Linked DNA regions of Saccharomyces cerevisiae S288C. Changing the gene in region 1 together with any one later gene gives a genetic interaction. Each region holds a gene or a part of one and is shown in the gene's direction. Other genes may lie near its edges.

Region 1 (3,759 bases):
GTTGGTTTTTTTTCCTATCGCTGTCGTTATAATAGTACTTGACGAAGAGAGAAGAAAAGTAAAAATTTGAGCGAAAAAGAGGATAAAAATCACATTGAGGCAGAGTGGTTAAGGTAGCTGTACCAGTCATTTTGAATACATTTTTCTGGATGTTCCATCAATAATGGATTTTTATACTACTGATATCAACAAAAATGTTGTGCCTTTGTTCAGTAAAGGAACAGTAGCAAGAACAGCATCAAAAGCACAGTATCCATCATGGTGCAACAACGCGTTAAAGTTAACTAATATTCTTCTTAAATCTCTTCGATGTAAATTTCAAACGAACCGCTGCGAGGATGATCGAGGTTTTGAGGTATATTGTGTTATTTTAAAAAGCATCGCTTTATTAATGGCCGCGAAAGAATCATTGATATTACTACAAATACCTCCTTCTTTACCATCAGGATTTCCATTTCGTTCACCCCAACTGTCATTTACATATTTATCAACCCGTCTTAGTGGGAGCCAACACAAATCTACGCATTCTCATCACATCAATCATCAAACTCATCCCATTCATAGTAGCAGTAGCAACAGTAATAGTAATAACCGTATTCCTACAAAAACAGATTCCTCCAAACAGCATACACAGCATTTCTCTTTTGCTAATGCGGGAGCCTCCAATAGAGACGAACTGCTATCAATCGTGCGCAAAATTGATAAATCTAATTTGAAGTGTTGTGACTGCGGTAGCACCGCAACAGTAGAATGGGTGTCAATCAATTTATTGTGTATATTGTGTATCAAATGTTCGGGCGTTCATCGATCTCTGGGTTCACATATCTCCAAAATTAGATCTTTAACGCTGGATAATTTCACCTCGTTAGAGTTGATGCATCTTTTACAAAATAATGTTTCCAATAGTAATGTTAATGCCATTTATGAAAGCAATCTCAGGAACTTTCCAGTTAAAAAAATAACTGCAAATTCTGATGACTCGGAAAGATCCAAATTCATTATTGATAAGTATCAATTTAAAAAGTTTGTTATCGACAGCAACCAAGGCAGAGAGGCTTCTTTGAAGTCTTTAATTAAAGCTATCCATTTAGATAGTGTTTTCATGATGCAAAGAGCCATCGCCCAAAGTAAATATTCCCTAAGAGAATTGACGGCAAGCGAAAAAGAGCAGAATGATCTAAACCATTCTTCCATTTTTCAATATTCCCTAAAGCACTATGAAATTGTTGATGGAACGCCCATTTTTTTTATTACAGAATTTTTATTGTGCAATGGTATTCATATAGATAATTTACCGAAGATTACTACGAATTGGTCTCCAAAGGTTTTAGAATATTGGGAAACTAAGTTGGAGATGTACGGAACATTCCAAGCTGTAAATACTTCTCGTCCAAGATCAGGGCCGCATTTAAATATGCATTCAAATGTAGATTCAGCTTCGTCCTACAATAAGAAACACGATTTGAGAGTTAACATACCTGAAAGAAGTGCCTCAGCAAGTAAAAGGTGGAGTTTGAGCTCCATTCCTAAGTCTTCTCAAAATTTGATGTCCCCAACAAACTTATTAACAATGCATAAGTCTTTAAAATTGGCCAAAAAGGACAAAAAATAACATATATGATAATTTAACTGTATTTTTTTCCCTTTTCTAATACTTTTTCCTCAAGTTATATTTCGGAGCTGTCCCAGGTTCGGAACAATGCGGCATCAGGGATAAAAAAAAATGACACATAAAAACGAAAAAGACACAAATTCCATTTTTTTTTTTTGACGCGAAAGAATGACACTACTTTCTTCTATTGTAACCATTTCTAACATCGATATTTTACTTGTTAGTTCAGATATATACTAAAGAGTCACTTAATATACTGTTTTTGTTTATTATCTTGGTTCCAACTGCTTCATTTAATATTTCCTATCCAAAAAAAGCCAGCTAATTCTCTTCTTTTTTTTTCTTATTTTGCCATTTTCAATATTATCGATTTAGTGAACACCTGGCTAGTCAGTTGTCTTAGCAAACATTTCTCAAAAGAAAGCAAACCAGCATTTGCTTTTTAAATTTAGTTTTTTTACTAGCTAATTCATTTACTAAACAACAAAAGAAAATAGCACAAAATGGAAAGCAAAGAAATATCAATTAGGTCAAGAACCCCTCCATCGAAGCTATATTCCATCCAATCATGTATTGGCAGAGGTAACTTTGGTGATGTGTATAAAGCAGTGGATAGAGTTACGCAAGAAATTGTGGCAATTAAGGTGGTCAACCTGGAGCATTCCGACGAAGACATTGAACTGTTAGCACAGGAAATTTTTTTTCTGGCGGAATTGAAATCTCCTCTTATTACAAACTATATTGCAACAATGTTAGAAGATGTCTCTATGTGGATTGTCATGGAATATTGCGGCGGTGGATCATGTTCAGATTTACTGAAGCGAAGTTACGTCAACGGTTTGCCTGAAGAAAAAGTTTCCTTCATTATTCATGAAGTCACCTTGGGTTTGAAATACCTGCATGAGCAAAGGAAAATTCATCGTGATATCAAAGCAGCTAATATTTTACTAAATGAAGAAGGTATGGTTAAGTTGGGTGATTTCGGAGTAAGTGGCCACATTCGTTCCACTTTGAAAAGGGACACTTTTGTAGGAACGCCGTATTGGATGGCTCCGGAAGTTGTTTGCTGCGAAGTTGATGGGTATAATGAGAAAGCAGATATATGGTCCTTGGGTATCACCACCTATGAGTTACTCAAGGGCTTACCCCCATTATCTAAATATGATCCTATGAAAGTTATGACTAACTTACCAAAAAGGAAGCCTCCAAAATTACAAGGTCCCTTTTCGGATGCAGCAAAGGATTTCGTAGCTGGTTGTCTTGTTAAAACACCTGCTGATCGGCCATCGGCATATAACTTGTTATCATTTGAATTTGTTAAGAATATCACCATAACGAACTTGAAAAGTGATGTTGATCTAATTAAACAGAAAAAGGTTCAGGAGAGATATACAAAAGTTCCCAAATACCCTCTTCAAAATCGCTTGTATAAAAACAGCAACACAGTGAGGGGAAAGGAATTTTGGAATTTTGAATCGACAAGACTAAGCACAACACAAATTTCCAAAGAGGAATTATCTCCCATTACACAAGACTCTCCAACATCATCTTTAAATATGGAAAGTCCTTATTTACTTCATGGGCAAACTGTAACGCCGATAACCAACCCAAGTTCTTCATCATTTAGAAAATGTACGCAACCAGTTTTCGAGCTTGATTCAGGAATGGATATAGATTCAGGCTGCCCAAATGCTCAAGCAGAGACCGAAATAGTTCCTCTCTCTAATCATAATAAGAAGCATAAAAAGAACGATATTCAGGCGTTGAAGATAGAAAAGTTTGACTACTTGAAAAACATTGTATCTCATATTCTCAACAGAATGTATGATCGTGCGCGCGACGATGAAACAAGAAAATACGTAAATGAAATGTTAAAGCAATTCATTAAAACTGAGGCAAACGTTCCTGGATTTAATGAGGTTTTTATAGAAGAGATCTCACTAAGAATTGAAGCAATAAAGAAAGGATTCGTTTAAAAAAATAGATATATATATATAATGTGTGTATATGCATGAGTTTTTGTTTTCCATTCTCTTTCATCTTCAATAAATGAAGGATGGATATATTGAATTATATAACAAACAGTAAAAAGTCATGTGTTTTTGATTATTTACCTGCTTATTTCTCCCTTTTTTTTTCGATTCTTT
Region 2 (3,759 bases), on another chromosome or scaffold:
CCTGCGACACCCACATACAACACAAACTTAGGATTTTCAATCACGGGGGGAGCAATAATTCTTTGTAGCGCTTCTATCAAAATTGAGACACATAAGGCAATCAAAAAGACGGCGTTAATCAGAGCACCCAAAATCTCCGCCCTTTTCCAACCATAAGTGTACGTTGAATCCGGATTTCTGTTTTTGGCAACATTTACGGCCCAAAGTGCAACCACAAGAGAAATTATATCGTTTAGCATATGGAATGAGTCCGCGATTAGAGCCAAAGAGTGAGACAAGTACCCGGTAGTTATCTCGATCCCGAAGAACACTGTGTCTAGCAGCAACAAGGATATAATTTTTACCTGTTTGCTTCCGAGTTTCATATTTACTCAATCTTTCCGTACTTTGTGTTAACTTTCTTTCTATAGCTATGCAGAACTATTCTGAGCAAAGTGAAAATAATTGGTTACTAAATAGAACCAGAAATGCTTTTCGAGCTCCCACGTAGAATATATAAGACCAATAAATTCCTTTATTGTACGGATATTCTGCATTACAAATGAGTCTTCTGCTTTATGCGGATCGTCAGCTTATATTGCCTTCGTACAGAAAATGAAAATTCACTACTGGAAACGGGTGAGCGGATGTATGAGTGTATAGTATACACCCGGTTTTTTTTACCCTTTCTAAGACCGGAGCTGGCGACAGTAAGTGATAAGCGGCCGTTGGCGGCCGTGGGTGAGTTATGCATGGGAACCAGCATGAGCCAGCGATGTTCACTATAAAGAGATTAAATGTAGAAAGTGCTGAGAGACCGATCGATTGGTAAACTTTTCAAAAGGTGGCCTTCTCCACACTTTCTTTTTCCCTCGTTCACTCTGCCTTGATCACATGCTTTTTTCTATGGTTAACTTTGAAAAATTCGTTCCATATCGCCCGCCACAAGTTAAAACCAGATATGCGTGGGATATAGTAGGGTGGACTGTTAAGTTAGCTATAATGGGCTTGTACTCTTTTTGAATACAAAAACCACCTTTCTACACCTTAATACAAGCGGTGGTTGGAAAGCATTCTTGATATATATAATTATATGAGTTTTGAAAAAAAGTACTGGGCATCATTTAAATAAGCGGGCTAAACTTTGTTTATGTTTAGGTTAACGATAGACATATTTATTTTTTTTTCTAGGAATAAAAATGAAGAACGGGAAGAAAAGGAAAAATGAAAATGAAGAATATGAAGAGTAAACCTACTTAAAAAAAAAAACCATACTTTAGTATTTAATGTAGCTACCACGCGTATTCGATACACTATTATTTTTCTTGACTTAGTATGTCAATTGTAGGTAGCCTCATGATGCCCTCTTGATCTAAGCGCGGTGAAAGTCCGCAGGCAATTGCTATAATACTGACAAAATTTATAAGGGGAGAGGGTCTTTTTTCGGTCCGCACGGAGCGGGCGAAGAAAACGTAGCGGTGAGAAAAGAATACGTCACCAAAGTATCAGAAACGTCACTGCGTTGTAGATGTAAGACCGATCCACTTTGCCAGCTGCTTACGCTGCGGAAAGTAAACAGACCTAGCTAGCGGACCGATAGAGCCGGCTGAACTTTATAACAAATGCGCCTTCTAACAAGCGATGAAGCCATGCTTAGCGCGGCAAAGAGAATTACTTAGAATATGGATGATGCAGCCCTGTCATATTCTTCCATAAGGGAATGACAAGGACAATAGTAAAGTCGATCACGCCCTGTCAGGAACATGATCTCCGCCATGTGAATATTTATGCATGATACAGGCACGAATACATCATATAATACGAATGACACAGGGGCACCCACCCATCGCATATCAGGAGAACTTCCCTGTGCATACGGGACAGCAGAGATAGGCTGTTCTCGCGCGTTTTTTTTTTTTTTTTGCTTTTTTTGGTTCCTTTCGCGGATATCGTATTATCGATATTACAACAAAAATGTTTGGAGATCTCCTTCGCTGTCTTTAAGTAAAAGGCTTTAACCGCTTATTTTTCTCTCTTTTTTTCCTTTTACCCCTCACTTGTCGTGAGACAATTGTAGTATATTTAGTAAGTATAGAAAGTTCTTGTTGTTAAAAAACTCGTTAGGATACAATAAAAACTAGAACAAACACAAAAGACAAAAAAAGACAACAATATGGTTGCTCAATATACCGTTCCAGTTGGGAAAGCCGCCAATGAGCATGAAACTGCTCCAAGAAGAAATTATCAATGCCGCGAGAAGCCGCTCGTCAGACCGCCTAACACAAAGTGTTCCACTGTTTATGAGTTTGTTCTAGAGTGCTTTCAGAAGAACAAAAATTCAAATGCTATGGGTTGGAGGGATGTTAAGGAAATTCATGAAGAATCCAAATCGGTTATGAAAAAAGTTGATGGCAAGGAGACTTCAGTGGAAAAGAAATGGATGTATTATGAACTATCGCATTATCATTATAATTCATTTGACCAATTGACCGATATCATGCATGAAATTGGTCGTGGGTTGGTGAAAATAGGATTAAAGCCTAATGATGATGACAAATTACATCTTTACGCAGCCACTTCTCACAAGTGGATGAAGATGTTCTTAGGAGCGCAGTCTCAAGGTATTCCTGTCGTCACTGCCTACGATACTTTGGGAGAGAAAGGGCTAATTCATTCTTTGGTGCAAACGGGGTCTAAGGCCATTTTTACCGATAACTCTTTATTACCATCCTTGATCAAACCAGTGCAAGCCGCTCAAGACGTAAAATACATAATTCATTTCGATTCCATCAGTTCTGAGGACAGGAGGCAAAGTGGTAAGATCTATCAATCTGCTCATGATGCCATCAACAGAATTAAAGAAGTTAGACCTGATATCAAGACCTTTAGCTTTGACGACATCTTGAAGCTAGGTAAAGAATCCTGTAACGAAATCGATGTTCATCCACCTGGCAAGGATGATCTTTGTTGCATCATGTATACGTCTGGTTCTACAGGTGAGCCAAAGGGTGTTGTCTTGAAACATTCAAATGTTGTCGCAGGTGTTGGTGGTGCAAGTTTGAATGTTTTGAAGTTTGTGGGCAATACCGACCGTGTTATCTGTTTTTTGCCACTAGCTCATATTTTTGAATTGGTTTTCGAACTATTGTCCTTTTATTGGGGGGCCTGCATTGGTTATGCCACCGTAAAAACTTTAACTAGCAGCTCTGTGAGAAATTGTCAAGGTGATTTGCAAGAATTCAAGCCCACAATCATGGTTGGTGTCGCCGCTGTTTGGGAAACAGTGAGAAAAGGGATCTTAAACCAAATTGATAATTTGCCCTTCCTCACCAAGAAAATCTTCTGGACCGCGTATAATACCAAGTTGAACATGCAACGTCTCCACATCCCTGGTGGCGGCGCCTTAGGAAACTTGGTTTTCAAAAAAATCAGAACTGCCACAGGTGGCCAATTAAGATATTTGTTAAACGGTGGTTCTCCAATCAGTCGGGATGCTCAGGAATTCATCACAAATTTAATCTGCCCTATGCTTATTGGTTACGGTTTAACCGAGACATGCGCTAGTACCACCATCTTGGATCCTGCTAATTTTGAACTCGGCGTCGCTGGTGACCTAACAGGTTGTGTTACCGTCAAACTAGTTGATGTTGAAGAATTAGGTTATTTTGCTAAAAACAACCAAGGTGAAGTTTGGATCACAGGTGCCAATGTCACGCCTGAATATTATAAGAATGAGGAAGAAACTTCTCAAGCTTTAACAAGCGATGGTTGGTTCAAGAC
Region 3 (3,210 bases), on another chromosome or scaffold:
TCAAATTGGGTAGCTTGGACTATGCAGGTGGTTTATGTGTCCATTTAACATCTGGACATGGTGGTCTAGTTTACGCTTTGATACTGGGTAAGCGTAATGACCCTGTTACACGTAAAGGGATGCCCAAGTACAAACCACATTCCGTCACCTCGGTGGTTTTAGGCACAGTGTTCTTATGGTTTGGTTGGATGTTCTTTAACGGAGGCTCTGCAGGTAATGCAACTATACGAGCATGGTACTCTATTATGTCCACAAACTTAGCTGCTGCTTGCGGTGGCTTGACATGGATGGTTATCGATTATTTCAGATGCGGAAGAAAGTGGACTACAGTTGGTTTGTGTTCAGGTATCATCGCTGGCCTAGTGGGTATCACCCCAGCCGCCGGGTTCGTGCCAATCTGGTCAGCCGTTGTCATTGGTGTGGTTACTGGTGCAGGATGTAACCTTGCTGTTGACTTAAAGAGTCTATTGCGCATCGATGATGGTCTAGATTGTTACTCTATCCATGGTGTGGGTGGTTGTATTGGTTCTGTATTAACTGGTATCTTTGCTGCAGACTATGTAAATGCCACTGCAGGCTCTTACATTAGTCCAATTGATGGTGGCTGGATCAATCATCACTATAAACAAGTTGGTTATCAATTAGCAGGTATATGCGCTGCACTAGCCTGGACTGTTACTGTCACATCTATCTTGCTTCTAACTATGAATGCCATTCCATTTTTAAAACTAAGATTAAGTGCTGATGAGGAAGAATTAGGTACCGACGCTGCTCAAATTGGTGAATTTACATACGAGGAATCCACTGCTTACATCCCAGAACCAATCAGATCTAAAACATCGGCACAAATGCCACCTCCTCATGAAAACATTGATGATAAGATTGTGGGTAACACAGACGCAGAAAAGAATTCTACGCCTTCCGACGCTTCTTCTACTAAGAACACTGACCATATAGTATAATGATATACTCAAGCAGACTATGATTTTATGTTTAATCTTTATGTAACGCTTCATTTAATAATTTTATTTTTAATATTTGATATATTTTCTTTTTTTGATAACTCCGAATGATGAGGGGAGACGTTAGTATTACTTCTCTTGTCTTATGTTATTATCATAATCGATGACTTTAACTGTGCACACTATAATATACAGCATCTCCAGAGCATGATAGCAAGAAATTTTCTTTAAGAAAGCCTCTATATACCCTATATATGCTGTTAACAGGAAAAGAGCACAAGGTTTATTTTGCTTTGGTTGCAAATTTTCATCGCTTATAGAAGACATATTTTGATGTAAAAACCTTGATATACTTCCTTTTTGCCTTATCTTTCACTGTTTCCATCTCTTTTCTTTTTTTTTTTTTTTTTTTTTTTTTTTTTTTTTTTTTTTTTTGAATCTTAAAATTCTCGAAACTGCACTGAAATGGCGCAGGAAACTGACCTCATCGCATGCCAACGAAGATTGAAAAAAATTAACATATAAGGCTTATGAAAGCGACATCTTTTGCAAATGAATAATTGACAAGCAGGCCTGTGTATTTATAGTTATTTTGAAATAATAACTACCATTAGAACTAACAAAAGAAAAGAAAAAAAAAATAATGGTTTCTGTGGAGTTTTTACAGGAGTTACCAAAATGTGAGCATCACTTGCATTTGGAAGGTACTCTAGAACCTGACCTATTGTTCCCATTAGCTAAAAGAAACGATATAATTCTACCTGAAGGTTTTCCTAAATCGGTCGAGGAATTAAACGAAAAGTATAAGAAGTTTCGTGATCTGCAGGATTTCTTAGATTACTATTATATTGGTACTAATGTCTTGATTAGTGAACAAGATTTCTTTGATTTGGCGTGGGCCTATTTTAAAAAAGTTCACAAACAAGGCTTGGTCCATGCTGAAGTGTTTTACGACCCTCAGTCACATACATCTAGGGGCATCTCCATAGAAACAGTCACTAAAGGTTTCCAAAGAGCTTGTGACAAAGCCTTCTCTGAATTTGGTATTACATCCAAGCTAATTATGTGTCTGTTAAGACACATTGAACCAGAGGAATGTTTGAAAACTATCGAAGAAGCTACCCCATTTATTAAAGATGGTACTATCTCTGCCTTAGGATTAGATTCTGCTGAGAAACCATTTCCCCCACATTTATTTGTTGAATGTTACGGAAAGGCCGCCTCATTGAATAAAGATTTAAAACTAACTGCACACGCAGGTGAAGAAGGCCCCGCTCAATTCGTCTCGGATGCTTTAGACTTGTTGCAAGTAACAAGAATCGATCACGGTATCAACAGTCAATACGACGAGGAGTTATTGGATAGGTTGTCGCGCGACCAGACCATGCTAACTATTTGTCCTCTCTCCAACGTGAAGCTACAAGTAGTCCAATCCGTTTCAGAGTTACCACTACAAAAGTTTCTTGACAGAGATGTTCCATTTTCTTTAAATTCTGATGACCCCGCCTATTTTGGTGGTTATATCTTAGATGTCTACACTCAAGTTTCGAAAGATTTCCCACACTGGGACCATGAAACATGGGGTCGTATCGCTAAGAACGCCATTAAAGGTTCATGGTGTGACGATAAAAGAAAGAACGGTTTGTTAAGTAGAGTGGACGAAGTAGTCACTAAATATTCGCATTAGTACCATTTGCAAGACATTGTATAATATTTTTGTTGAAAGTCTTTTTCGATTCATAAGCGCTTTTTTGTAAATTTATAACACTATGTGTATGCACAAATTTCATTCGATGTTTTTGATGCTTTTTACATCCCCTTTTGTGTGGGAAAGGATACAATAGAATTCTACAAACTTATTTGAGTGATTATACGAGCATTAGCTGGACCTTTTGTATTTCACGAGATTACAATTCGGGAACTATCAAAGTACACGTTAAAATTCAGCTCGGGTATGTTAAGTACTAGTAATTACCTCTGGTACCTACTGACGTAATTCCCACCCTTGGGACCTTGCGGAAGCGCCTGAGTATTGCTCTTTCTATTTCCGTTGTACCTTTGATTTTCATTGGCTCTATGGGCAGCACCGCTATCTCGTGTATTTCTATAATCTTGCGTTTGAAATTTGTTTCTAATTGTTTCATCCTTCTTGAATCTTTTATTCGGCTTTTCTTCATTTTCTGAAGGCGAGTCGCGCTTGTAAGATGAAGCTTGGTAAGGGTTGGCTTTGCTGCTGTCTTTGCCCTCT

Evidence for each region.
Region 2: mutations in SPS1 (region 1) and FAA1 together harm fitness more than expected from each alone (negative genetic interaction), as found in Saccharomyces cerevisiae (2 studies listed by BioGRID).
Region 3: mutations in SPS1 (region 1) and AAH1 together harm fitness more than expected from each alone (negative genetic interaction), as found in Saccharomyces cerevisiae (2 studies listed by BioGRID).

What each region holds. Positions count from the first base shown.
Region 1 is NC_001136.10:1,485,395-1,489,153, reverse strand, and holds SPS1 (putative serine/threonine protein kinase SPS1), read left to right. Parts: upstream 1-2,115; coding exon 2,116-3,588; downstream 3,589-3,759. Other genes in the region: GTPase-activating protein AGE1, read left to right, coding at 164-1,612. UniProt on the Saccharomyces cerevisiae protein: Serine/threonine protein kinase required for spore wall development.
Region 2 is NC_001147.6:907,191-910,949, forward strand, and holds the start of FAA1 (long-chain fatty acid-CoA ligase FAA1), read left to right. Parts: upstream 1-2,152; coding exon 2,153-3,759. Other genes in the region: metal cation transporter COT1, read right to left, coding at 1-365; YOR316C-A (uncharacterized protein), read right to left, coding at 536-745. UniProt on the Saccharomyces cerevisiae protein: Activates long-chain fatty acids (LCFA) by esterification of the fatty acids into metabolically active CoA-thioesters for subsequent degradation or incorporation into phospholipids.
Region 3 is NC_001146.8:357,991-361,200, forward strand, and holds AAH1 (adenine deaminase), read left to right. Parts: upstream 1-1,605; coding exon 1,606-2,649; downstream 2,650-3,210. Other genes in the region: ammonium permease MEP2, read left to right, coding at 1-962; YNL140C (uncharacterized protein), read right to left, coding at 2,927-3,210; THO2 (Tho2p), read right to left, coding at 2,934-3,210. UniProt on the Saccharomyces cerevisiae protein: Catalyzes the hydrolytic deamination of adenine to hypoxanthine. Plays an important role in the purine salvage pathway and in nitrogen catabolism.